4 linked regions of the Notamacropus eugenii genome follow. The protein of the gene in region 1 purifies or fractionates together with the protein of each later gene. This does not show direct contact. Links are inferred from orthologs where the notes say so. Each region holds a gene or a part of one and is shown in the gene's direction. Other genes may lie near its edges. The genes, in order: STX18, RINT1, USE1 and SCFD1.

Region 1 (6,975 bases):
GGGAATTTCCACTCTGTATCAGGCAGTTAGCTTCTGCCATGTTGATGATTTTTTATAAGATGACTTGTGAAACTCCTGGGGCAGATTATTAGGAAAAAGTTGAACAAAAATTCCAAGGGAATGAAGGATGAGGGGAAAGCGAACTTGAACTTTCTACATTATTCCTTCCAGTACCATAAATGGATGCCTGTTGAATGGATTAACAGTTTCCCCAGAGTTTTGACTTATCCTGGTTAACTCAGGTTAAAACTATTATTTACATGATTTTATTTATTAGTGAAATGAACTCTCACACTTAACTTAAAAGGAAGATCTAGAAATTGGCAGGGTAACAGAAATGATCATGGAAAAGAACAGGTGTGCCAAACTGGACATATTTCTCATCTACCTGAATAAGCATTTTTTGGATGTGTGGGAAGAAACATGTGCTGTAGCTCAGTGCTGAAAACATAGGTGATAAGAGTTCATAGTCTGCTCCCTGTGACTGCAGGCTGTGACAAAAAGACGTGATAGCTGAGGCAGGAAAGGGTGAGAAGGCAGTGCATCCAACTCCTGTGAAGCAAGGAGGACCCGAGATCGTATCTGAGCTCTTAGAGTTATGAGTTGTGTGAACCTGGGCAAGTCATTTAACTGCTGTTTCGCTCAGTTTCCTCATATGTAAAATGGGGGTAATAATAACACCTCCCTTCCAGGGTTATTGTGAGGATCACATGAGGCAATAATTGTAAAGCACTTAGCACAGTGTCTGACATCTAGTATGTGCTATCTATATATTATTATTATTCCTAGCCAATTATCATTTAATAGTTAGTATTTTATAAAATGCTTTAAGATCAGCCTCGAAATCATGGTTCCTGACCTCAGCAAATGTGGGACATCCTGTTTCTGTGAAGATGGGAAGATTTCTTCAAAGGTCTGGGAAAAATATTTAAGGCAGCCCTTTCTCCATGATCTTTGAGCCTGGGCAGTTGTGCTATATATCCTTCAACAAATCACTCATAGAAACATGTGTTTTGTGTATTGTGCTCTACTTTCACTTTAAAGTGGCAATTACCATGTAACCATTTTTTTCCTTTCTTTGTTTAGCATATTTGCTGCTAATGTTGGTGAATAGACATTGAATGTTGATCACTTCTCCAACATCTGAAATCATTCCTCAAGAAGATCTCCCAGGTATTGATTTTGTACCTGATATGAAATCCCTACCTGCCAATATTCAGCTAAGACAAGGAGACTAAGGGACAATACGGATTTCCTATGGAGTCAGGCAAAAGGGATCCAAGATGAAGAACAGATTGATCTTTGGGGAATGAACAATTAAGAGAAAGGGAAATCAGTCAAGACTGGTACTTTCACAAAATCCTCACCATCTCTAATTATTAATGACTTTCTCCCTTGAAATCCACATTGCACTTTGCAAATCTCCAATGCACTCATCAGATAGTGTATGGAATTATAATTATATGTGCTTGTGCCTTAAAGGCAATAAACATATCTATTCTATAGGAAGGACATGCTTACTATGTGCCAGGCAGGTACTGTGCTAAGAGCTTTTCAAATATTATCTCATGCTCTTCACACCAATGGAGGGAGTTTAATGTTATTATCCTCATTTTACAGAGGAGGAAATTGAGGCAGACATTGATTGAAAGACTTGCTCAGGGTCACATAACTAGTTAGCTATAGCAGTTACTTATATATTTTCCTTTTCTCTCTCTCTTTCCAATTTGAATGCTTTGAGGAAATTTGCATACCTCTGGATATGCCTAATATTATGGGGATAATAAGAGTTGGAGATGGAGAGGAGGAAGCTTGAAGAAGGTGGAGTGAGAAAAGAGAAGTTTTTTTGTCTTCATTTTAGGCTAGGGAGTTGGCATGGAACATTTGGAAGACTGGAGATACTCACTCTGGTTTGAGAAACAGGTTGGGTGACGGCAGAGGCAAATGGTGCAGTGGTTAAAGTACCTGACGTAGAGTCAGGAAGACTCTTCTTGAGTTCAACTCTGGCCTCAGACTTGCCAACTGTGTGACCCTGGGCAAGTCACTTACCATTGTTTGCCTCAGGTTCCTCATCTGTAAAATGAGATAGAGAAGGAAATAGCAAACCTCTCCAGTATCTCTGTGAAGGAAACTCCAAATAGGGTCTCAGAGAGTCAGTCACAACAGAACCACAGAGGCATAAATGCATAGTTGCCGTTGTTTTTCACGTTTTTCCTATTTCTAAGCAGTTAAGTTCTTGACATGTACACTCATTCCTCTATTAGATTTGCTTTAGAAAGTCACGAAACACACCACCCCTGGATGTTTCAGCGATACCTCACTCTTGAGCCAAACCTCAAACTAGAAAAAAGTCACCAATTTTCTGAATTCCTAAGCAAAGTGAACCCAAGTTCCTAAAAACAAAATAAAATAAACTTTGCACAGCACAGGTACTCAGTTAAGTTATTGTTGAATGAGCATCTAATTAACATACCAAAGTCTTGCTTTTTTTTACATTTCTTTATTTCTTTTCAGAATAACACTAAGTGAATTGGTCAGAATTCAACAATGCATCTACTAATGTTCCAAATTCCGTGGAACCAGACCTCCCCAGATGAACTTCAGTGATTCATTGTAGTGTAGAAGAGACTCTGGAGCCTCAAAGGCTATTTCCGGGGGACTGCAAATTCCTGTAACTTCTGTGAAGCAGACAACGCAGCTAGGTGGGGCCGTGGAAAGATGCTGACCTGGAGTCAGGAAGACTTGAGATCCCGTTCTGTTTCAGTCATTTAGGAGATCCTGGGCAAGACATTTAACCTCTCAGCCTGTTTCCTCATCCGTCAAATGGACATAATAGCACCTGCCTTACAGTATTGTTGTGGGTGCTTCGCAAGCCTTAGAGTGCTCTATAAACGCTGGTTATTATAAGTTAGTAGTTTCCTGGAGGGTCAATCTAGCTAAATATGGAAGCCTGGCTATTAGTTGATGGATTCTTAGGTCACTGAAACTGCATAAAAAAAATTAAATGGCCCTCAGCCTTTTTTTGTTTTTGTTTTTTTGCAATGACAGGGGATGGGATGGGAGTGGAGAAAAAGGCACCAAAAGGGGCAGATGCTCAGAACCACATTTAGGATTTTGGTTATTGTTATACATTCCACCACGTCACTATTTCTCAGGTCCTCACGATGAGTCGGGGAGCCACAAATCGTAACTTGATCAGAAAAAGAAAGCTTAAACTAGGCGTGAAGGCGACTCCAGCTCACCCCTTCAGAATGTAAGGTTCTTGAAGGCAGGACCCTTGGCAGGTGGCTGATCACGGACGTGAATAAACCATCTCCTGCAGGACTTCAGGCAGCTTCCACAACCTCTGTGGATTTAGAACACAGGTCTGGACCAGCGGACCAGTCAGCCTGGGCCTCAGTTTCCCCATCTGTAAAATAAAAAGGGGGGGTTGGGCCAGATCAGGGCTCTTAACCTGGGGTTCAAAAACCCGTAAAATTTCAGAGGGATATACGACCAGCAATGGGGGGGAAGGTGACGTTTTTATTTTCACTAAAGTCTCCCTGAAATTTAGCATTTGCTTTAATTATTTAAAAACGTGAAGGGGGTGGGTCCAAGCATTTATTAAGCGCCTTCCATGCCTGCCCTCAGGCGGCTTCCCGTTTAATCTGGCGCCCGGGGCCCTGAGCCTAGTCCGACCCCCTGGACCCGAACCTCGCCTGGTCACGCACCCTCTCCGGGCCTCAGTTTGCCGGCCTCTACGCCCCGCGGCTCCCTCCCACCCCCTCTACACTCCCGGGATTCCCAGGCCAGCGGATGCCCGGAGCGCAGACACCCGTGAGATGGTGGGGGGGGTGGGGGGAGAGGAGGGGCGTGGCGTGGCGTGGCGTGCGCGCTCCCGAGAAAAGGGGCGGGGAGAGCGCCTCCCGGGAGCGCGCAGGTAGCCCGCTACTTCCGGCGGCTGGGACGGGCGCGGAACCTCGGTTGCCTGACAGCGGTTGCCGGGGGGAGGGTCGGAGGGACGGAGCCCCCTCTGTCTCCGTAGTGGGCGGGGCCGGGCGGACACGGTGGCTGCGAAGTCGGGGCGCCATGGCGGTGGACATCACCCTGCTGTTCCGGGCCAGCGTGAAGACCGTGAAGACCCGGAACAAGGCCCTGGGGGTAGCCGTCGGAGGCGGCGGCGGCTCGGACGGCGCCCGGGAGGAGCTGTTTCGCCGGAGCCCCCGCCCCAAAGGGGACTTTTCCAGCCGGGCCCGGGAAGTGGTGAGTGAGTTGCCAGGGCAACGGAGGAGGGGGAGGGGGCCCGGCCGTGGAAGGTAGCCGCGTGGAGTAGCGGGGCTCCTGGGCTTCCCTCTGGTCTCCTCCCGCTGTCAGTCGGTGAAACCTCGCGAGACTCAGTGTACCCCGTCTGTGGAAGGACGCGGCGGCACCCGGTGGTCCCCGAGGTCCCTCCCGAAGGCTGGCACTTAGCTTTTTACGTGTTCGTGGATGGCTTGAGACCTTTGTGGGCCTCAGGTGTCTGGTCTGTAAGAGGAGGGTGGCACCGTATTGGCACAGCCATAAGGTGCCGTAGAAATGTTAGTTGTTAGTAACCGCAACTCCTCAGCCTTTATATCCTGCTTCAAGATTTGCAAAGCATTTTACGTGTGTTTCCTTTTATCTCACAACCACCCTGGGAGGTGGGTGCTGTACGTTATCCCCATTTCACAGATGGGGAAAGTGAGGCACAGAGAGGCCAAGTGGCTTCCTCACAGTGTCACCTAGATACTGCAGGGAATGATCCCCAAACCCCTTCCGGTCCTGACATCATATGAATCAGCGTAAGGTGGTGGGAGATGAGTGGGGTCCCTGCCCCAGGCAGACATAGGATGGGCCTCTTCAAGTGTACCAGTGATTGTCCTGTGAAAGAGATTAGACTTGGCCTAGAGGTCAGAACTTAGGTGGATGAGTACAGGTTGATGAGGGACAGGCTTTGGATATAGTTCTTTAAAATATTGTCTCTGACACATGCCATCCCAGTGACCTTGGTAAGTAACTTTGCTTACGTGGGCTTCAGTTTCTTTAATGAGAAGCCTTGGCTGGATGGCTTCTGAGGACCCCCTCCTCCCCCCAGCACTAGTGGAATTTATAGTACTGTGATCCTAATGAAAGGTGAAATGGGCTTCCTCTTCACTGGAGGTCTTAAAACCGAGGCTTAGATGCTTACATTTGTGGATATTGGAAGGCTCATTCTCTCTGGAACAGGTTGAATCAGATAAATGTCCTCCAGTTTTTTTTATTGTGCATCCTTACTAAAATGTTTTTAAACAGGTATCTCCAATATGTATGTATTTACTTGTTTGTAAATTTATAAATGCCTGTTAGCTAGGTTTTATGAAGTGCCTACTATATACTAGGCACTGTTCTGAGCATTGGGGGTTCAAACACCCCCTGCTCTTGATTAACTCACACTCTAGTAGGAGTGAAAATATACAAACTATGTACAGATGAGATTTATCCAGGATGAATTAAGGGTAGTCTCAAAGGAAAGGATCTAAGATTAAGGAGGACTGGTAAAGGCTTTTCCTAAAGGTGGGACTTTAGCTTGAGGCTTGAAGTCTCAGGGAAGGTAATAGGCACAGATGAGGAAGAACATTTCTAGGTATGAGGGTCAATCAGTGAAAATATTAGGAGTTGAGAGATGGGATGTCACATGGAAGAAATATCAAGGAAGCCAATTTCATTGCATCACAGAGTACATGGAGTTTTTTATATTTAATTCTAGGGGTAACAGGGAACCATTGGAATTTATTGATTGGGGTGACATGGGCAGACCTGTGCTTTAGGAAGATCACTTTGACAGCTGAGGATGGAATGGAGTGGGGAGAAAATTGTGGCAGGGAGATCAAGCAACAGGCTGTTTGTAATAGTCTAGGCGATAAAGGCCTACACCAGGGTGTGGCAGTGTCAGAGAAGGGAATGTATGTGAGAGATGTTACAAAGATAAAAATTAAAGGCTTTTGTCCAGATTGCAGAGACAAAATGAGCGCACCTAGCATACGAAGGGAAATGATATACACACTCCCTCTGTATGTGTATGTGTATGTATGTATATAGTTTTGTTTATATATCTTGGATACCAAATCCTTATCAGAGAAATTTGATACAAAGCTTTTTTCTTGCTTACTTCCCTTTGTATCGCAAGTGCATTAACTTTTCTGTGTAAAAGATTTCTGTTGTGTTTGACATTTAAAGTCCATCATAACCTAGTCCTACCTTTCTAATCTTCTTAAATTTTACTCCCCAACACATACTCTTTAACCCAGTGACATGGCCTCTGCCTGTTCCATGAATGAGACACTCCATCTCTCAGCTCCAGGCATTCTCTCTGGCATTCCCTTGTACCTGGAACACTCCCTTCCACTGTTCAGACTGCTGACCTCCCTGACTTCCTTTAAGTCCTAAATAAAATTCTACTTTCTAGAGGAAGTCTTTTCTAAATCCTCTTAATTCTATACCTTTTCACTATGAATTATTTTCTATTTATCATGTACATAGCTTGTTATATATTTGTTTTCGTGTTGTTTCCCTCATCAGATTTTAAGCTCCTTGAGGACAGGGATTGTCTCTTGCTTCTTTTTGTATCCCTGTGCTTAGCATAGTGCCTGGTGCATAGCAGATGCTTAATAAATGTTGATTGATTGATTGATTGACATGTAAATCAAAGGAAGCTTGTAGTTTTACTTCACAGATTTGAAAAGATGACCAAAATATGGCAGTACTCAATGTTAGAGGGGTTGTGGAATAATAGGAACACTAATACATTGTTGGTGGAGCTGTGAGATGGTACAGCCATTTTGGAAAGTAGTTTGGAATTATGCGACTAAAGGGACTAAAATGTCTACATACTCTTTGGAACAGAGACCCCACTACTGAACTTATATCCCAATGAACCTAATAATAAGAAACAAGTCCCCACATACACCAAAATATTTATAGCAGCACTTTTTGTGATGG
Region 2 (7,121 bases), on another chromosome or scaffold:
AAAATCACAAAACAAAACCAAAAGAATGAAAAAATGGAAGATAATGTGAAATATCTCATTGGAAAAACAACTGACCTGGAAAATAGAGCCAGGAGAGACAATTTAAAAATTGTGGGCCTACCTGAAAGCCATGATCAGAAAAAGAGCCTAGACATCATCTTTCATGAAATTATCAATGAAAACTGCCCTGAGATTCTAGAACCAGAGGGCAAAATAAATATTCAAGGAATCCACAGAACACCGCCTGAAAGAGATCCAAAAAGAGAAACTCCTAGGAACATTGTGGCCAAATTCCAGAACTCCCAGGTGAAAGAGAAAATATTGCAAGCAGCTAGAAAGAAACAATTCAAGTATTGTGGAAATACAATCAGGATAACACAAGATCTAGCAGCTTCTACATTAAGGGATCGAAGGGCATGGAATAGGATATTCCAGAAGTCAAAGGAACTAGGACTAAAACCAAGAATCACCTACCCAGCAAAACTGAGTATAATACTTCAGGGGAAAAATTGGTCTTTCAATGAAATAGAGGATTTTCAAGCATTCTTGATGAAAAGACCAGAGCTGAAAAGAAAATTTGACTTCCAAACACAAGAATGAAGAGAACCATGAAAAGGTGAACAGCAAAGAGAAGTCATAAGGGACTTACTAAAGTTGAACTGTTTACATTCCTACATGGAAAGACAATATTTGTAACTCTTGAAACATTTCAGTATCTGGGTACTGGGTGGGATTACACACACACACATGCACACACGCACACACACATAGAGACAGAGTGCACAGAGTGAATTGAAGAGGATGGGATCATATCTTAAAAAAAAATGAAATCAAGCAGTGAGAGAGAAAGATATTGGGAGGAGAAAGGGAGAATTGAATGGGGCAAATTATCTCTCATAAAAGAGGCAAGCAAAAGACTCATTAGTGGAGGGATAAAGAGGGGAGGTGAGAGAAAAACATGAAGTCTACTCTCATCACATTCCACTAAAGGAAAGAATAAAATGCCTACTCATCTTGGTATGAAAACCTATCTTACAATACAGAAAAGTGGAGGATAAGGGGATAAGCAGAGTGGGGGGGGATGATAGAAGGGAGGGCATGGGGAGGAGAGTGCAATTTGAGGTCAACACTCATGGGGAGGGATAGGATCAAAAGAGAATAGAAGTAATGGGGGACAGGATAGGATGGAGGGAAATATAGTTAGTCCTATACAACACAACTATTATGGAAGTCATTTGCAAAACTACACAGATTTGGCCTATATTGAATTGCTTGCCTTCCAAAGGGAAGGGGTGGAGAGGGAGGGAGCTAAAGAAGTTGGAACTCAAAGTGTTAGGATCAGCTGTAATGTTCTTACCACTAGGAAATAAGAAATACAGGTAAAGGGGAATAGAAAGCTATCTGGCCCTACAGGACAAAAGAGAAGACAGAGACAAGGGCAGAGAGGGATGATAGAAGAGAGAGCAGATTGGTCATAGGGGCAATTAGAATGCTTGGCGTTTGGGGGGGGAGGGGAGAAAAGGGGAAAAATTTGAAACCCAAAATTTTGTGAAAATGAATGTTAAAAGCTAAATAAAAAAAAAAAAAAGAAAAAAGAAAAAAAGAAGAAAAAAAAAAAAAAAGAAATGAGGAGCAGGCAGATTTCAGAAAAACCTGGAAAGACTTGTATGAACTGATGCTGAGTGAAGTCAGCAGAACCAGGAGAACATTGTACACAGTAACAGCCACATTGTTTGATGACTGACAGATAGACTTTTCTTAGCATGCAAGGATCTAAGACAACTCCAAAAGACTCATGATGGAAAATGGTGTCCACATCCAAAAAAAGAACTATGGAGTCTGAATGTAGATCAAAACACATTATTTGCTCTCTCTTTTTTCTTTTTTTGTTTCTTTCTTGTTTCTCATGGTTTCTCCCATTGGTTCTAATTCTTCTTTACAACATGACTAATGTGAAAATTGGTTTAATATGAATGTATACGGAGCACTTATATCAAATTGCAGGCTGTCTTGGGGTGGGGGAGGGGAGAGATGGGGAGAGATTTGGAACTCAAAATTTTATGGAAGTGGATGTTGAAAACTAAAAATTAATGAATTAATTAGAAAAAATATAGTCAGGGTGGCAGTTCAGTAGTAACTCCAAATTCCAGTATTAATTTACCTGAAAAGCACATCTTTCCCTAGTACAACAATCATTATACCAACTGTTTGTTTTAAGAGAGGTTCACATATATTTCTTCCCAATAGTCAAGATCATGAAAGGAGAAAAATAAGACCAGTGCAAGGGTGATGGAGTGGAAGAGCAGGTGAGACCAGTGATTAGAAGATGAAAATTCTGTTTTGGAGGAGTGAGGAAGAGATGGAAAAGGAGAGGAGAGGAATATAGGTTCAGACTGCATAATGACCTACATGTGAACCAGGAAACCAATTTTCTGTTCATGTTTTAAATTTTCCTGGATAGTATTAAAATGCATTCTTTGAGGCTCCTCTGATATCGTCCCCATGGGTAATGCCACCCATGATGATTTCGACCCCTTCTAGACCTTAGTCATTTCATGAGTCTATGGTCAATCTTCCCCTGGTGACTCTCTCTAAATCTGATAAAATAGTCCTCTAATGCAACAGATTCAGTCTGTCACTAAGCTCATTTATTAAAATCCAAATGTTACCAAATTACAACCTTAAATGGAGAAGAAAAAAGTTTGTTTTCATTCCTCTTCACTTTATTTTTTTTAAGTATTATACTACCAAAAGTATAGTTGTTAAGTGTCAGTGACTGAGGTCTGAATACAGGATATAGATGAAGATGACTGGGGGAAGGAGGAAATTAAATACAAATTTTAAATACACATTTTAGGAAATAAATCCCAGCACCTGAATAAACTCTTGTTTGTTTATCCCATCTTGTGTTCACTTTTTTTTTTTTAACAAAGCAGTTAAAAGTTAGATCCTAACTAAAAAAGTTCATTTGAAAAAACTCCACCTTTTTCTTGCCTTTAACTGGGGTTCCAAATTCTAATAATCTCAGATGATGTTTGTATCATTGCACAGGAACTGAACTCTTCCTAGTTCCTAACCTTCCTCTTCCTCTTCCTAACCTCTATTCCTAGTTAATCTTGAAATTTCTATTAATTTTGAGTTAATCTTGAGCTCATCTTCTTTGCTGAAGAGTGTCTAAGAGAATCACTCTTGACAAAATTAGAAAGCAGAAAATTTGGGAAATTGTATTTGCCTTAGGATCCTCAAAGTCTCAGATATAATACTTTATATTATATAATACTTTCAGACACAATACTTTCCTTCAGAGAAGGGTTGGAAGGGCCAGGAATACCTCTTCAGTTGTCATAATCAAGGAGTGAAGGAGGTGGAGGTAGAGTCATGGAGTCAGGGATCATTAAAATTGGACCTTGAAATTCAGCCTCTTCATTGGATAAATAAGGAAATGGAGGCACAGAGTCATCTGGGGAACTCTGGTTCAGTGGAAAGATCAATGAATTTAAGAGTCAGAGGACCTGTGTTCAAATTCTGACTTTGTCAGTTATGACTATGTGACCCTGGGCAAGTCTCTTAACCTCTCTGGGTCTCAGTTACCTTGTCTGTAGAATGAGTTTGGACTCCTACCAGCTCTAAATCTGTGATATTAGTGAATCGCTCAGAAGTGATAGGAGTTTGTGTTGGATTATCCACTTTCCTTAGTGACTAACAGCCCACATTTTGGGTACCCACAACCCTTAATAAAGGCCAGGACACTTGTCTCCTTTGAGCAAAGTTAAAAGGCATAGAAAAACAATGGACCAGTTATCCCAAATGCCATGCCATTAGGGTGGGGAGATTTGGTTGCATATATTTGCCATCATGCAAAATTTGGAAGGTGGTACTATTGGCATTTTTTTTCTTTAAAAAAAACAAACAATTTCACAGTATTTCAACTTCACAAAACTATAATGGTGTGACTGCACTTATGGATTTTATTGTTTAAATCTTCAAAATAAAATACAGAGGATTTTAGGTGCATAAAGCAGTATTCCTTGCTACTACAACTGTTCTCAACCATCATCTGCAAGATTTGTGATCCATTAGTAATAACAATAGCTAACATTTTATATAGTGCCTTAAGATTTGCAAAGTCAAAGTACTTTCCATATGTTATCTCACTGGATCCTCACCACAACCCTGTGAGGTAGGTGCCATTTTACAGATGAGGAAACTGAGAATGAGAGACACAGCACCATTTGTCCAGCAAGGTTCAAATTCAGGTCAGCCTGACTCTATGTCCAGTGCCCTGTATCCACCATGTCACTTCTGTTTGCCTCCATACAACATGCAAGCTTATGATTAGTAAATGTAAATGTTACATATAATGCGATGTCATTATTGGTAATTCTTGATGTTTACTGCTGCTACTACTGCTGCTGCCGCTACTTTTTAGAGGCATCTCTACTCCAAATCTTCATTTGTGCTGGACTTATGGTAGTCTCCCAAGCTCAGCCACAGTACACCCCGTACCTTGACCCCAACATAGTGATGTCATTTTGGTCTTCTTCAAGCATAAAGGACAACAACCAACCAACTACTACCAGTACTATCACTACGACCATGACCCAGGTTCCTAGGAAGTTCTTAGACTAGCATCAGGACCAGTTTTTGTCTGGCCTCCCCGTAAGAACTGCAGCGCGACCTCCAGGCAGGCGGTGGCGCCACAGGCTAGTTATCCGCGGCCGGGGAAAACGAAGAGTGTGTTCCTCTGGGAACGAGGGGAAGGAGTCAGCGAGTTCGGGAGAGGAAGTGGCGTGGGCGGCCACCGCGGCATCCTCCGGGTGAAACGCCCGTCTCGGCGTCTGCGAGTCCGGTCCTGGAGGGGCTCCCTCGGCGCCTCTCACAGGCTGCCCCGGGCAGGCGGGCTGCGCATGGAGCCGAGAAGACGGAGAGCAGACGGCGGCCGGCGCTGAGCCGAGGTCAGGGGAGACCACGCGGGCCGGGGGCGAAGGACCTCCCCTAAGTAAAGCCCGCGAGAGCCTCCCAGGCGGCTTACGCCCGGGAGGGCTGCGGTGCGGTGTCCTGGGTTCGAGTCCGAGCTCTGACGCTTATTACCTACCCGTCCCAGGCCAAGTTACCTGACCTCCCTCCACTGCAGCTTTTCCAGCCTGCAAAGTCAGGGAGGACTTGGGGGTGCATTTCTGGGGGGGTCCGTGAATTCTGAACTTTTACAACTTGTTAATAGCTGAAAGTCTCCAAAGCTTTCTCTGTGATCAGGGTCGATCTGGACGTTGTGCCTGTACCACCCTAATGCAGACTGGTGGGCGCCCACCGTGTGCCAGTCTGGGCGGGGCGGGGAGGGACGCGGCGTGCCAGCAGCTTGTAGAAACAAGAGAAGTAAAAAAACTGAGTAATAAAGACAAACGCGACAGGGTGAACTGGAAATACATCCGCAGATTAATAAATAATTCCTAAGGGGGCGGGGACACCAAGAGTAAGGAGACTTGAGAAAGGTGGCACTTTAATGGAGACTTGAAGGAAGGCCAGGGAAGCTGGGAGGCTGGGAGAAGGATGAAGCCGGTGACAATGCTAGGAGCTTCGGATGGAGTGTTGGGTGTGGGAAAGAGCCAGAAAGGCGGCGTGTCCTGGTGGGGGAACGTAGGGAGAAGGGTAGGAGGGAGCCAAGTTTAACTGATGGTTTTCTGTTTCATCTGGATGTCCTGGAGAGCTGCTGGAGCTGATTGAGGGAAGGGTAGAAGTTGTCATACACTTAGGAAAGATCAGGGGTGGGCAGGAGTGCAGAGAGACTGGGCAGGAGACCAGTCAGAAGGCTGTGGCAGTAGTTAAAGCTTGAGGTGTAGGAAAGGCAAGAAATATCAATGATCTCCCACATTATTTACCCCGTCGGATGATGACCCTTTTCCCATATGGTGTTTTGTATATGATAAATCTTTGTTACCAGCCTGTAACTTAGTAGCTAAGTCTTAGAGAGTTACCTGAAGCACATGGAAGTTAAAGGATTTAGAGCGCACATCTTACACCAAAGTGTCAGTTTAATAAATGCTTGTGGATCGTCTGAGTGATTCTAGTGTGCCGTCACGTGTATGTTCTGTAGCATACAGTTGTTGTTATTCAGTAAATTTTTTGCTTTACAATTTAAAAAAAAATTAGGAGATCTAAGAATGGCAGCTCCTGTCAGAAAAGAACAGACCAACCAAGATGTAGATACCTGTGATATCCCCTCCTACGTGTCTGAATTTGTGGAAAAGGAAGTTGGAAATGATCTTCAATCTTTAAAGAAACTTGGAAAACTCATAGAACAGTTGACAAACAATAAAGTACAATTAGAAGAACAGGTAAGTATTAAAAATTAAAATTGAATTGTACATTTGATGAGTTCCTTGCACATTTATGTAGAATGAATAGCTGTTGGTAAAAACAGGAAAAATATTCATGGCATTTTGACTTTGGGATCAGGAGAGTTAGGTAATAGTTGTATAGCTCTTAAATTTATAAAGGATCCACCACCTATTAAGTATTCTGCAAAATAAATAAAAGACAAATTTCCTACTTGAATGACATTATGTAATTGGAAAAATGATGTTGGTAATGTTGGTAACATTTTATGGAGCTTTTATTATAATTACTTTAAAATGCTTTTACACTTAGTTGTATTATTGTCTTTTTGGCAAAGATTAAGAAATTTTCTTTCTACTACATTGGTGAAAAATAAATTCTGTGTCCATATTCTTTTTTTCCCTGAACAGTGCATACTTTTTGTAATATATTGTTGTTTAAAATATATTTTTACCTATGTCGCTGTCAAAATGGATGCAAGATTAGCATTCCTAATCTCTTATATTTCCATAATATGGGAATCTGTAGTAAATCTTACGGTACCATTCTAAATATAGGAAAAACTTCCTCTTTTTCCCTTCCCTCCCCTGCCCTCTCCTATCCTCCCCTCCCCTCTGTGTATAGCAATACCTTTTTACTGATTTTCCTCTTATTTTATCACATTTAAATATAAACAAGCTACAGTCTAGAGTGAATGATGTTACTGGTTCTGCGTGACACAGAGAATCCCTAGTTGTTTAGTTGTTACAGGGCTTTCTCTCGAACCCCAAATTCCCTGACCTTATTCT
Region 3 (6,920 bases), on another chromosome or scaffold:
TTCCTCTAAAAAGAGGAGGTTGGAGTAGGTGATATTGGAGCTCCCCCCTGGTTCTTTGATTCTGTGATCCTAATCCCTAATCTCTTCCCATCATTAGTACTGTCTGCTTAACATGACATTGTATATACTTTCTAGCAACAGCCTTGGTATGAAGGGCCCACTTTGGAGCCAAGAAGATTCAGATTCAAGAGGCAGCTAGGTGACATAGTGGACAGAGTGCTAGGCCTGGAGTTGGGAAGATCTGACCTCAGACACTAGCTCTGGGACCCTGGCAAGTCACTTAAACTCTGCCTCCATTTCTTTGACTATAAAATAAGGAAAATAATAGCATGTACCTCACAAGGGTTATGTGAGAATCATATTTGTAAAGCACTTAATACTGTCTGGCGCATAGTAGGTGCTTACTAAATGCTTCCTTCCTTCACGGGCGGCCCTGTTAAGCTAGAGGCCAGATGCTGATCTCCATGGAGAGAATTGGGTCTCTGATGGAATCAAACATGAGCCACAGTGGTAAAACTCTTCATCCTGACTTAGCTATTTTTGTTATATTCTCTCCACTCACCCCTCCTCCAAAGAACACTAAGTAGAGCTAGTTTTTATATAGTGCTTTACGAAAGTTTACAAAGGACTTTACAAATACCTAATGTCATCCTCACAGTAATCCTGCGGGGAGGTGCTATTTTCATTCTCATTTTGCAGATGAAAAAACCAAGATAGATAAAGGTTAAATGACTTATCCACCGTCCCACTGCAAATAAGTGTTTAAAGGAGTATTTGGACTCAAGTCTTTCTGCCTCCGGGTCCAGCACTCTATCCATCGTGCCCGCTAATGTAATGCCTAGAGGTTAGGGATTGTTTCATGTCTGTACCCAGTATCGGTACCATGCACACTGTGGGTGTTCCATCTATTTACTGGATTGAAAGGGAAGCCCACAGGTAGTCAGCATTAAAGAAAGGCAAGCTGTCCCCACCCTCAAGGAGTTCACATTCTAATGGCAAGAGGTATGAACAACATATGTACAGAGTGTGTGTGTGTTCATCCTTCGTTGCCAAAGAAGACCATGCCATTAAAGGAATGATGACGTGACTTGCACTTGACTTTGTTTTGAGTGAGGGAGGGCTGTACTGGTCACCAGCCTCACTTCTCCAGAACCATCTGAATCCAGTGACCAGATATTCATCAGGATGACTGGAGATGACCCAGGATGAGGCAATTGGGGTTAAGTGACTTGCCCAAGGTCACACAACTAGTGAGTGTCAAGTGTCTGAGGTGAGATTTGAACTCAGATCCTCCCGACTTCTGCACTGGTGCTGTATCTACTGCACCACCTAGCTGCCCCCTATGTGCAAAGTAGATGAAAGGTGAAGACCCCTGTAACCCTGGGCAAGTCACTTAACCCTGTTTGCCTCAGTTTCCCTTGCCCAGGGTTGGCACTAGCAGCCAGGGGGACTGGGAAAGGCCTCCTATAGAAGGTAGAATTCAAATCAACTCTTGAAAGAAGTCAGGGAAACAAATAAAGATGGAGGCCAAGAGGGAGAGTGTTCCAGGCTTGAAGAACAGTCAGGGCAAAAGCCAAGAGAAAGGAAATGGAATGCTGTGTTGGAAAAACTACAAGAAGGCCAGGGTAGCTGGACCTAAGAGTGTGTGAACAGGAGGAAAGGGTAGGAAGATTGGAAAGTTTGGAAGGGGCCACATTATCAATCAATTCACATTAATAATTTGTGGCATGTGCTAAGCACTAGGGATACAAAAAGAGGCAAAAGACAGCTCCTGCCTTCAAGGAGTTTACAATCTAATGGGGAAGACAACATCCAAGCTCTAGTCAGGATAAATAGGAAATGATTAACAGAGGGAAAGCACTAGAATGAAGAGGAATTGAGAGAGGCTTTCTGTAAAAGATGGGATTTGAGTTGGGACTTCAAGGAAGCCAGGGAGATCAGCTGTAGCCTGACCAGAGGAGAGAGAGTATTGCAGGCATGGAAGACAGCCAGACAGAATGCCTAGAGCTGACAGATGAGTGCCTTGTTCTAGTAACAGCCAAGAGGACGATGTCTCTGGATCAAAGAGTACCTGTTAGGGAGGAAGGTGTAAGATAACTAGAGAGGTGGGATGGGGTTAGGTTTTGAAGGGCTTTGAATGTCAAACAGAGCACTCTGTATTTGCTCTTGGAGGTAACAGGGAATGTCTGGAGTTGAGTAGAGGAATGATATGGTCAGACATGTGCTTTAGGAAAATCACTTTGGTGGCTGAATAGAGGATGGATTGGAGTAGGGAAAGACTTGAGGCAGGCAGACCCATCAGCAGCTGCTGCAAAAGTTCAGGCATGAGGTGATAACCTGCACCAGGGTTGTAGCAGTGTCAGAGGAGAGAATGGGGAATAGTTGAGAGAGGTGGCAGAAGGGAAATCAACAGCCCTTGGTATGGGAGGGTGAGAGATAGTGAAGAGTTGAGCTTAACTCCTAGGTTGCAAGCCTGAAGGACTGGGAAGATGATGGTGTCCTCTAACTGGTCTTAAATGCCTAACAAAGGAATTTATATTTGATTCTGGAGTTAACAGTGAGCCCCTAGAGCTCTGGGGGGGAGGGGACGGGACTGGTCAGACATAACCTTTAGAAAAGTCCACCGTAGCCGCTCAGGAATGAAGCAAGGAGATCAACCCCAAGCCTGCTCGATTAATCCGGGGAAGCGGTGTCTGTGTGAATGGAGAGAAAGGCACACCATAGGCGAGGTGGGAAGGTAGACTATTGGATATTGGAGGTGAGGAAGTGTGAAATGTCAAGAATGATACCAATCTTGAAATAATAGTGTCTTCTAGGGAAGATCAGAAGAGTCAAGCATTTGGGGGTTAAGAAATGTGTTCAGTTGTGGACATGTGGAGTTTGAAATAACTATGGGATAACCAGTTCAAGATGTCCAAAAGACAGTCGGGATTTGACACTAGAAGTAGGAGGGGAGGGGGGGAAGGAACATGCCAGAAACTGTTCTAAGTGCTCTACAAATGTTGGCTCATTGGATCTTAATCACCCTGGGAGGTAAGTGCTATTAGTTTCTTACATTTTACAGTTGAGGAAACTGAGGCTGGTAGAGGAGTTGCCCAGGAACAATCAAGAAGCATTTAAGTGCCTACTGTGTGCCAGGCACTGTAGAATAATACAAAGACAGGCTACAAAGATAGTCCCTGCCCTCTAGCTCACAACGTCATGGACCACAGAGCTTGTCAATGTTCTCAGGAGGATTAGAGCTGAAGTCTCCCAATTCCAAGCCCAGCGCTCTCTATACTACACCCCCTGGTCGTTCCTTTTAGAACTAGAGCTCGAGAGAGGTCAGGGCTGGATGGACAAAGGTCTTGTTCAGTTGTGTCCAACTCTCTGGGAGCCCTTTTTGGGGTTTTCTTGGCAGCGCTCCTGGAGTGATTTGCCATTTCTTCAGACGGGGAAACTGAGGCAAAGAGGGTTGTGACTTGCCCAGGGTCCCAGAGCTTGTGTCTTTGGGTGGATTTGAACCCAGGGCCCTCTGACTCCAGTCTCAACACTGTACCCATTGCGACCCCGTAGTTAGCATGCGTGAAATGGACGAAGGCTTGGCAAAGAAAGCTGACGTTTATTCAGGAATCCTACGAAGTAGAGTGTGATGGGGAACATGAGAAAGCCACTGGAAGACTTCAGGTAACATGGCGACAGGAACTCCTACCAGTAGGTGAGATGGTGCCAGACTCCACCTACGGTGGTAACGTTGCCCAGCGCCATCATCTACCTCCTGTACTAAGATGGCGCGGCTAGTGCGGTTAACCGGAAGCTCGGAATGCCCTTCCGCCCGTACTAAGATGGCGCGGGCGGAGCGGTTAACCGGAAGCTCGGAATGCCCTTCCGCCCGCACTAAGTATGGTCGTAAAACCGCTTCTTCCGCCCGTAGCTCTTAGACCGACAGTCATTTTCCGCCTAGAGTCAAGACGCCTTCGGCTGGAGCGGGCATGGCGGCGGAAGCACCTCCTCCCGCCCTTAGTTAATATGGCGGCGGGCGCGCCTTCTTCCGCCCGTGCTTGGTTGAGCCGTGGCGGAGTTGGCGACAGCGCAGGGACGGTGATGGCGGTGCCGCGGCTGGAGCTGAACCTGGTGCGGCTGCTGTGCCGCTGCGAGGCGCTGGCGGCGGAGAAGCGCGACCCGAGCGAGTGGCGCCTGGAGAAGGTGGGAGGCGCCGCGGGGGACCCCAGGCTAGAAGGGGCAGAGGTGTGCCCACCGCCGCCCCGCCCCCACCGAGGCACGGTCCCGCCCTCCTGGCCCCTGATTGGCTCTACCCCGCTCCGGTCCTGCCCCCCCCCCCCCCCCCGGAAGTGGCATATTAATTAGAGAGGAGAGGGATGGATGGAGGGAGGGAAGGCATTTTAGGCCTAGGGTCTAAATCAATGAATGTAAAGTGAGAACAATCTGTCTGGTCCGTCCTTCCCCACTTCCCGTTTTTTCGGACAAGAAATCTGATATCCTGCCAAGTTTAATGCCCTGCCCAAGGTTACACAGCCTGGTAGAGCTAGAATTGGGGGTCGCATTCCCATTTTTCCTCTTCTTATCCTGTCCTGGTTTTGACGTCCATTCCTCACACGGAGCTCTCCCTCTCCCTTCTCCCCTCACCTGGTGCTGATTCTATTCCAGCTGAGATTTACAAGGTGGGGGAACCATTGCTCATACAAAAGCTGACTGAAATTTTCCAGGTTATATGGCAAGAGGAGGTTATCCCCCAGGAGTTCAAGGATGCCTCCATTGTCCATCTCTATAAAGGTAAAGGAAATACATTGTCCTGCGACAATCACAGGGCGTCTCTCTCTTAGTCATTGCTGGCAGAATTCTTGCTAGAGTCCTCCTCAATAGGCTAATCCTTCACCTGGAAGATGGTCATATACCTGAGAGTCAACATGGCTTCAGAAAGGGCCGTGAAACAGTCGATATGACGTTTGCTGCCTGACAACTCCAGAAAAAATGCCAGGAGCAAAACAGAGGTCTGTACACAATGGTTGTAGCTCTGACCAAGGCCTTTGACACTGTTAGTTGTGAGGGCTTAAGGAAAATTATGTCAAAAGTTGGTTGCCCCGAGTTCATCACTATTGTATGTCAATTTCATGATGGCATGTTTGCTCGGGTTCTGGATAGTGGACAATGCTCTCGTGTCTTCCCAGTCACCAATGGAATGAAAAAGGGTTGTGTGCTTGCTCTCATACTTTTTAGCATGATGTTTTCAGCCATGTTGACGAATGCTTTCAATGATGATGAACATGGTATCAAGGTCCACTACTGTACTGATGGTAAGTTCTTCAGTTTGAAAAAGCTACAAGCCAAGACCAAAGTGGAGGGAGTGTTGGTGCGTGATTTTCTGTTTGCAGATGATTGTGCAATCAATGCAGCCTCTGAAGCTGAGATGCAACAAAGTATGGATCAATTCTCTGCTGCCTATGCTAATTTTGACCTGATAATTAACACAAAAAAACCCACAGGTGCTCCATCAACCACCACTATACCATCCATATGTGGAACCATTGGTTACAACAAATGGAGAAGTTTTGAATACTGTGGATAAGTTCATTTACCTTGGTACTGTACTTTCCAGAGATGTACACGTTGACAATGAGGTTGATGCATGCATCGACACAGCTAGCTCAGTGTTTGGGAGGCTCCAATGAAAGGTTTGGGAGAGAAGAGGTATTAGACTGACTACCAAACTGAAGGTCTACAGATCCATTGTTATATGCTTGTGAAACATGGAGAGTCTACGAGCACCATGTCAGGAAACTGAATCACTTCCATTTGAACTGTCTTAGGAAGATTCTGAGGATCACCTGGCAGGACAAGGTACTAGACACTGAAGTCCTTGCTCGAGCTGAACTGCCAAGTATTCAAACTATGCTTCAGAGAGTGCAGCTCCAATCGGTTGGTCATGTTGTTCAAATGCAAAATGTATGCTTGCCAAAAAGACTATTTTATGGAGAACTTGCATGGGGCAGGCGATCACATGGTGGCCAGAAGAAACGATACAAGGACACTCTCAAAGTTTCTCTCAAGAACTTTGGATTTGACTGTGCAACATGGGAGACACTGGCACAGGACTGCTCAGCATGGCATGCACACATAAGAAAAGGTGCTGTGCTCTTCGAGCAAAGCAGAATTGAGACAGCACAAAGTAAACGCAGGATGCACAAATTTGGAATATCCACCCCAAATATTCACATGGACTATCTGTGCCCAACCTGTGGTAGAGCATTCCAAGCTCGTATTGGTCTGATCAGCCATAGTCGGATGCCAGGCCTAGAGGCCTGAGGGCTACCCGAGTCTTACCTTACCTATCGCAGGTCTTCGGCTGGCCAAACCGGATAAACGTATGAGAGAAGAGACTTTCCAGAGTCGAACAAGGGTTAGGCTTTATTCAGGGTCTTGGTTACATGTGCAGGGGGAACTCTTCCTTAGGAGAGAGAGAAATCTCCCAAGGAGGCAAAGATCTTACAGTAAGAGAATGAAAGCAGAAGTGGAAGTGGGGAGAGAGGGGAGAGGGAAGAGCGAAGAGAGGAAAGAAGGAAGAGGGGCCTTCTGTCCTGTAAGGGCCCCTCAGTGCTAAGCGTGCCTTCGGGCTTTCCTGACCCTACTTAAGCTCTCCTGCCGCATCGTTTGCACCTCAATACCGTGCCTGTTAGATAACAATAGGTGTGCCCAGATCTGGGCCAATCTCGAGGGCGGGGATGCTCTCTCCTATCACGTTTCCCACGGGAAGAGGTGGAAATGCACGCGATATCCCGGTCTCACACCTCAATTCCCTGCTGTTCCCTGGGGGGCCTCATGAGAACTCTAAGGTTTAGAAGTTCTCACCTTTACCTGCCCGAGACTGTCCACATGGAACTGAGCTTACACCCCCAACAGTCGGACACACTGAAATTTCACTT
Region 4 (7,514 bases), on another chromosome or scaffold:
TTTTGAAAGTTAGACTTATTTATATTGACATGTTTTTCAAATGAAGTTGTGTCTTAAAATTTTATGGTTTCTGGAACCTCCTTCAGCAAATCTTTACTTCTCGTGGATTCACTTCTCTTGGATTCACTCATGTTAAAGCCTTTAGGTAATATGATATTGTAAGTCTTTTACTTTCAATTATGTCTAAACAGAAATCAGTTAGTGATTTTACTTTTCATATGCTCATATTTATATATTTCAAAATTGTACCTATGAGTAAGTTTGGTTCTTTTTTCACTTGAGCACGTTTCTTTTAATCACTAATTTTCTAGGATGTCTCCTGAGACACCTTTTGGGTCTGTGCTATTTATTTTTCTTTTCAAACAAAACTGAGTCATTGATGATTGAATGATAGGACTTCATGCTAACAAAAATCAATATAAAAAAAGATAAATTTGCCAGGTGACTTTGCCTTTAGTGTTTATTCATCTGAAGGAAAGTAATTAGAATAAGATTTACTCCCTCTGTAAACAGACCACATTTTTAATGGTTTCTTTATTGTTACTCTCTGATAAATTGTGCAGTGTTCTGCTTGTATTATCAAATGTAAAATATTTCCTTTCATTTGTTTGATAACTTACTTTTAATGTATGTAGTTTATGTCCAGGATTTATACAATTTAAAATTTGCTTTAATCAATCTCAAATTTAATTCTGCTAGTGACAGTTTTATATACATGAATTATTTTTTAACTTTAGGCAGCATGGCGGAATGGATAGAGAGCTGATCTCTAAGTCAGGAAGACTGAGGTTGGAGACATGAATCTGATACATCCTGGTTTGTGTGACTTCTCAGTGCCAGTTCCCCAGGCATCTTTTTAAGATTATAAATTGTAGAGGTGCTGGAGGCCTACATTGGTAGAGGGAGTGTCTTCACCTGAGCAGTTCTCCTACATTAGTGAAATTAATTTCACTTCCTATGCTTAAGTACTCTAAATTGTACAGATTGAAGTACTGAAGAGAAACTTAGAAAGAAATGTCTTCTAGTTCTGTTGACAGCCTTTCAGTACATTATAACTTTGTCTGCTCAGTTTGATATGCAAATTTGGGTCATTTGTAATAATGTCTCTGTTGCATAGGAAGTGACCAGAAAAATACATGAAGCATTCTTTTGTGTAAACTTGACACCTTAGGGCTTTTCGTTCATGAATCTATTCTGACAAGATGGAAAGATTCCTTTTGTACAAAAAACTAACTTCTATAAAAGTTTTATGAAACTGAACATATGGATAGGAAATGCCACATAAATGAGGCAACATTGTAATTAAATCTTCAAATAAGAAAAGTAGCACTCTGAAGTTAATTCATTTCTCACTTATCCTCAAGAGATACAAAAATTTCATATACACACACCCTCCCTGTCCCCCCCCCCCATGTAATGCTTGTTTACCTCTTAGTCCTAAATGTATGCGCTACTGTGCCCCAGGGCTGGCCAGTAGTGGAGAGCCTGTTTCCATAGCAAGCCAATAGCCAAGCCCCAACCCTGGAGCAGTCAGGCTAGGTCATTGGGGAGACTCCACCCCTAACCCCCCCAATACAAGCCAAAAAGGAAGCCTGCCCTCCAGAGAAAGCAAGCAGCTAAGCACTCAAGCCCAGTGAAAGTCCCCAGTAAGATCCAAAGCCCCAACACCAAAAGCTTGGGATAGGGCAGGACTAGAGCCCAACTCTCTCATAAAAACACCAAGCCGTAAAAAAAAAGGCAGGAAAAAAAATGACCAAAAAAAATTTAACTATAGAAAGTTACTATGGTGATAGGGAAGATCAAGGCATAAACTTAGAAGAGGTAAATAGCGTCAAAAGGGCTACATGTGAAGCCTCAAAGGAAAATGTAATTTGGTCTCGACCCAAAAATTCCTAGAAGAGCTTAAAAAGGATTTTAAAAAGCAGATTACAGAAGTAGAAGAAAAATTGGGGAAAGAAATAATTGTGATGCAAGAGAATCATGAAGACAAAGTCAGTAGCATGGGAAAAGATAGATAAAATTTACCAAGGAAAATAACTCCCAAAAAATAGAATTGACCAAATAGAAAAGGAAGTAAAAAAAGCTCACTGAAGAAAATAATTCCTTAAAACATCAGGATTGAACAAGTGGAAACTGATGATTCTATGAGACATCAAAATAGGATAAAACAAAATCAAAAAAGTAAAAAAAAAAATAGAAGTTGGATGTTGGTTGGGGATGTGGAAAAACTGAAACACTAAAGCACTGTTAATGGATTTATGAACTGATCCAACCTTTCTGGAGAGCAATTTGGAACTGTGCCCAAAGGGCTATAAAATTGTGCATACTCTTTGATCCGGCAATATCACTGCTAGGTCTGTATCCCAAAGACATCCAAAAAAAGGGAAAAGAACTTATTTGTACAAAATTATTTATAGTAGCTGTTTTTATGGTGGCTAAGAATTGGAAATCAAAAGGATGCCTATCAATTGGGTAATGGCTAAACAGGCTGTGATTGTAATGGAATATTATTGTGCTAGAAGAGATGACAAGTAGGATGATTTCAGAAAAACCTGGAAACTTACATGAAGTAATATGATGCATTAGTGAAATGGACAGAATTAGAAGAGTTGTACACAGTGATACCAATATTGTTCAATGAAAAACTGTGAACGATTTAACTGGATCTAGGACAATCCCAAAGGACCAATGATGAAGCAGACTATCCATCTCCAGAGAAAGAATGGATATTGATTGAATACAGACTGAAGCTTCTTGTACAAAATGACTAATGTGGAAACATTTTACATAATTGCGCAGATATAACCAAGATCTGATTGCTTCCCATCTCAGGGCGGGGGGAGCGGAGAGAGGAACAGAATGTGGAACTCCGAAGTTTAAATAAAAATGTTAAAAAAAAATTGAGGATCTGAATATAGATAGTGACAGATACGAACACTATGAGACAGTTCTCGTTTTATGCAAATTTGCATTATGCAAATTCGACTTTACATAAAGAATTCTAAAAGACATGGGAGAAGGTAGCAAGCATAAATGAAAAGAGTTGGGGAAAAAAGTGTGCCCCACATTCATTCCTGATTTTCATGGATCTGACAAAGGTGAAATGTTCAAAGAAGTAACAAGGTTGTGAACTTAGCACAAGAACTGGAGCTAGAGGCGGAAGAGAAGGATGTGGAGGAGCTGACTGAGTTATGATCTGATTGAGTGGTTAGCTGCAAAGATTGCGGAAAAAGAAAAGGAAGCTGGGAAACCCCAGATCAGACCAAAAAGATTCCCAAGCATTTCATCACTGGAGTGAATTTTTCTTGTATTGAAAAGACAGATCCAAATACCTCAAGATTTTTACAAGTTCCAAGGCAAGCTGAGGATTAAATTGCTTGCTATCATTATGTATATTTAAGGGAGAAAGGAGAGCAACTGTCCCAACATTTAGATAGCTTCACTGAAAAAAGGGAAAGGCTGGGTTCAGTGGATGGGGGAAGGGCGAACCTGTTAACCTTACTGTACAGCACTGTGCATGCTTTATTATTACCTTTAATCTCATAATTCTGTTTCTTATCGTGGTACAGTATTCAGCCTGTCTGTCTGTCTGTATTTTACGGCCTGTAAAGGTGTCCTTTTGCGCATGTTTCTGTTACACAGCCCAAGTGAGAGGGGCGGGTGGGCAGGAGCAGACTCACATTCCCAGTGGGGGTCCGCAGAATGGTCAAAGGGTGTTACACGTTCACGCGTGACCTTTGTGTGGGCTGTTCAGTTTTCCATCTCTGGCGGGCAGATTAAAATATCAGTGAATACGTTCAGGCCACTTAAAAGATTACTTAGAGTAGGACTAGCAAGCATTTTGGAGCGTCATTTTTCTTCAGTATTGGGTCATTTCTAGGACAGGTAACCAGGAGCGTTTTGTGATTTCACTCAACCGTGGGTGTGGAAAATAAAAACAGCTGCCGGTAGGAAAAAAGGATGGCTACATTTGAATAGCGGCCATAATTTTATTGTAAGTTTTAGGTGTGTAAATAGCCATTTAAAATGTACACTGCCAACTCTGGTGAAGCTTCAGAACTGATTGAGCAGTACGTCAGTGTTGATCCATTGATTACGGGAGATGAACTGTCATATGTACCCATTTTTTGAAGTGCAATAAACTCTAAGGATTCAAACTGAAAACTGATTTGGGGTGATTTGTAAAATAATAGTTAAATAAATTCACGCACCTTTTTCTCGAGGCATCCTTCCCCTCCCCCACTTTCCCACAAGGATGGGTCTGCTTTAGCACCGTCTGGAGTCTCCACGACCGAAGGGGAAAAGGCCAAAAGGCCGACGATTAACTCGTGGGATCACCTGCCACACACGTGACAGCCCCCCCCTCCCCGAGCGACCCGCTTCCCACCCTGCAGCACGGCCCCATCCGGGGATTTTAAAAATCTCGGCGCGCGCAGCGCGGGCCCGGAGCCACGTGACCCCATGACGCAGAGGAGGCGGGGCCGGCGGGCCACGTGTCCTCGGCCGCGCCGCTTCCCGCCCCCTTTCCTTCCGGGGGCGTTGGGGCAGCCACGTCATCCTGCCGCTCCGGGCTTCGGGCCGGCGGTGAATGGTGGGAGTCAAGATGGCGGCCGCGGCTGCAGCCAGCATCCGAGAGAGGCAGACAGGTACCCGCTCGCTTCGTGCCCCCGCACTGCTCCTCCTCCTCCCCCCCGCCCTGGGCCGGGCTGTGCCGGCCTGGCCCTGCCACCGCGGGGGCGGCGGGAGCGGGCTCGGCTCGGCTCGGGCAGCCCCGGCTCCTGCCCCGGGCCCGCTCCGCTCCGCGCCTCACCCCTCCGGACTCGGGCCCCCGGCGCTCACCTTCCCAGCCTGCGGGCGGCCGCCACCCGGCTTCCCCTCTGCGCCCTGGCGGGGCCTCCCGGAGCCGGGAGGAGTCCCCAGGGGTCCCCCGGTGCACGGATTCATCCGCCCGCTCAGGGGGACGGGCGTCCTGGGGTCGGGCAGGGGCGCTTGTCCGTGGGGGGCACGCTGCTGCCGCCGCTGCTTGGGTCGCTGCCGGAGGTGCTCAGTGGCGGGGGCTCCCACCTCCCACGCCCTCGGGGGGTTTGGCCGGCTGGTGGACCTACGTGGGCGTTACACCCAGGGGCGTGTTTCCAGGATCAGGTGGGCCTGCTGATGGCCTTGGTTCACCAACTTACCTGACCTCCCGCGGGTGCACTGAAGACGCTGGTGGTTTCTGGCATCTGTTGCCCTTTCGTGCGTCCTTCCTCCTACTTTTTAACGAGTAATCTGGTCTTTGGATCACAGGGTGTAAAAGACTTGCCAAAGTTTCATTAATAGGAGTAGCAAAATTAGGATTAATTCCTAGATTCTTAGACTTCAAATTTAGTGTTCTTTCTAATATACTACCAGATGTGTGAAGTTTTTATTATTCACTCAGCAAACCCTATCCTATGTTTTAAGTACAGTGAGTAGACAGTCTAGCCAGAGAACAGTAGCGTTATGGAGGATGTGGGAGACATGAGATTGAAAAATGTAACCCCAGGGATTTGTTTTGGACTCCCTTCTCTCTGCTCTCTTGATAAGCTTAGCTTCTCCCTTTTCAGTTTCACCCTGTCTCTGCTGCTGAGTCTCAGATCTATAATTTTATCCTCACTTTTGCATTCTAAAGTCCATTTTACCAACTGCTGGATATATATGTATATGCACATATATATGTATGAGTGTGTATATATGTATGCATACATACATGCACACACACACATATATATCTATATACACACACATATACACATATATCCATTATTACCAAATGCTAGAACTGTCCAGCCATTTTTAGTAACCCCTCCAGACTGCGCCTGAGACTTTGCTTTGAACTTTGCTGTCTTCCAAACGCATTTTGCAAAGCCCTTTCTCAGGAAAATTGTGCCGAGGGCTTTAGGGGACCATGATGGAGCGTCCTAGTAATTGATAAAATTGCCTCTTCTTTTTACCATCTCCTGCTCACAGCTGGAGTCAGATTTGGTTGTCTCCTCTAATGAGCTTCACGCAGGAAACACATCTTGCTGTGGTAGAAAGAACTTCTGGATTATGAATCAGAGGCCAGAGACTTGGCTTTCAATTCTAGCTTAGTCACTTATTGTGTAACCTTAGGTTAAATACACTTTCATTCTGGGCCTCAGTTTCCCCGTCTATAAAGATATTTGACTTCCTAAGTTCCCTTCCAGTTCTTTGCTGTTTCCGTAGTTCCCTGTTAAAAGATTTTGCTGAAGTTTGAAGATGTATTTTTTTCTCTTGTTTTTTCCTTTTTAAAAATTTATTTTTAGTTTTCAACATTCACTTCCTGTTGTTAATTGTCCATTTCTCCCCCATGGCTTATGCTTAGTTTTGCTGAGTAGATGATTCTTGGTTTTAATCTTAGCTACTTTGACCTCTGGAATTTCATATTCCAAGCCTTCTGATCCCTTAATGTGGAAGCTGCTAAATCTTGTGTTATTCCGATTGTGGTTCCATGATACTTGAATTGTTTCTGGCTGCTTGCAGTGTTTTCTCCTTGACTTGGGAACTCTGGAATTGGGCTATAATATTCCTGGGAGTTTTCATTTTGGGATCTCTTTCAGGAGGTGATCAGTGAATGCTTTCAGTTTCTCTTTTACTTTCTGTTTCTAGCATAAAAGGGCAGTTTTCCTTGATAATTTCTTGAAAGATAATATCTAAGCTCTTTTTTGATCGTGGCTTTCAGATAGTCCAATAATTTTAAAATTATCTTTCCTGGATCTATTTTTCCAGGCCAGTTGTTTTTCTAATGAGATATTTCACATTGTCTTCTATTTTTTTATTCTTTTGGTTTTGATTTGTAATTTCTTGATTTCTCATAGAGTCATTAGCTTCCATTTGCTCCATTCTAATTTTTAAGGAATTATATTCTTCAGTGAGCTTTTGATCCTCCTTTTCCATTTAGCCAATTCTGTTTTTTAAGGCATTCTTCTCCTCATTGGCTGTTTGAACCTCTTTTGCCGTTGGGCCTAGTCAATTTTTTTTTAAAGTGTTACTTTCTTTGGTATTTTTGGGGATCTCCTTTAGCAAATTGTTGACTCATTTTTCATGATTTTCTTGTATCACTTCTCAATTTTTCCTTTACTTCTCTTAGTTGATTTTCAAAAGCCTTTTTGAGATATTGCATGGCCTGAAACTAGTTCATATTTTCCTTGGAGGCTTTGGATATAGGAGCTTGGATTTTGTTTTTTTTCTGAGCGTATGTTTTGATCTTCCTTGTCACCAAAGTAAGTTTCTATAGTCTGGATTTTTTCTGTTGCTTGTTACTTTTCCCAGCCTTTTTCTTGACTTTTTAATTTGTTGTTAAGGTAGGGCTTTGCTTCCAGTGTGGATGGCACACTGCCCCAAGCTTCAGGGGTTTTATGCAGGTGTTCTCATAGATACTTCTAGAGACCTATAAGTTTTCCGTTCTTTCAAGGTGGTATAATCAAAGTGTTTACTCCTCTGGCCTGTGCTCTGGTTTGTAGGTTATCACAAAC

What was found.
Region 2: the proteins of STX18 (region 1) and RINT1 purify together in Homo sapiens (co-immunoprecipitation; 6 studies listed by BioGRID and IntAct, counting the BioPlex papers as one, with this or other methods). This does not show direct contact. The link is inferred for Notamacropus eugenii from reciprocal best matches to the Homo sapiens genes STX18 and RINT1.
Region 3: the proteins of STX18 (region 1) and USE1 purify together in Homo sapiens (co-immunoprecipitation; 4 studies listed by BioGRID and IntAct, counting the BioPlex papers as one, with this or other methods). This does not show direct contact. The link is inferred for Notamacropus eugenii from reciprocal best matches to the Homo sapiens genes STX18 and USE1.
Region 4: the proteins of STX18 (region 1) and SCFD1 purify together in Homo sapiens (affinity purification with mass spectrometry; 5 studies listed by BioGRID and IntAct, counting the BioPlex papers as one, with this or other methods). This does not show direct contact. The link is inferred for Notamacropus eugenii from reciprocal best matches to the Homo sapiens genes STX18 and SCFD1.

The regions. Positions count from the first base shown.
Region 1 is NC_092877.1:61,756,622-61,763,596, forward strand, and holds the start of STX18 (syntaxin-18), read left to right. Parts: upstream 1-3,956; 5' UTR 3,957-4,068; coding exon 4,069-4,242; intron 4,243-6,975. UniProt on the Homo sapiens protein: Syntaxin that may be involved in targeting and fusion of Golgi-derived retrograde transport vesicles with the ER.
Region 2 is NC_092874.1:150,325,942-150,333,062, reverse strand, and holds the start of RINT1 (RAD50-interacting protein 1), read left to right. Parts: upstream 1-4,112; 5' UTR 4,113-4,955; intron 4,956-6,147; 5' UTR 6,148-6,158; coding exon 6,159-6,332; intron 6,333-7,121. UniProt on the Homo sapiens protein: Involved in regulation of membrane traffic between the Golgi and the endoplasmic reticulum (ER); the function is proposed to depend on its association in the NRZ complex which is believed to play a role in SNARE assembly at the ER.
Region 3 is NC_092875.1:60,616,157-60,623,076, forward strand, and holds the start of USE1 (vesicle transport protein USE1), read left to right. Parts: upstream 1-3,910; 5' UTR 3,911-4,008; coding exon 4,009-4,185; intron 4,186-6,920.
Region 4 is NC_092878.1:47,285,681-47,293,194, forward strand, and holds the start of SCFD1 (sec1 family domain-containing protein 1), read left to right. Parts: upstream 1-4,510; 5' UTR 4,511-4,588; coding exon 4,589-4,646; intron 4,647-7,514. UniProt on the Homo sapiens protein: Plays a role in SNARE-pin assembly and Golgi-to-ER retrograde transport via its interaction with COG4. Involved in vesicular transport between the endoplasmic reticulum and the Golgi.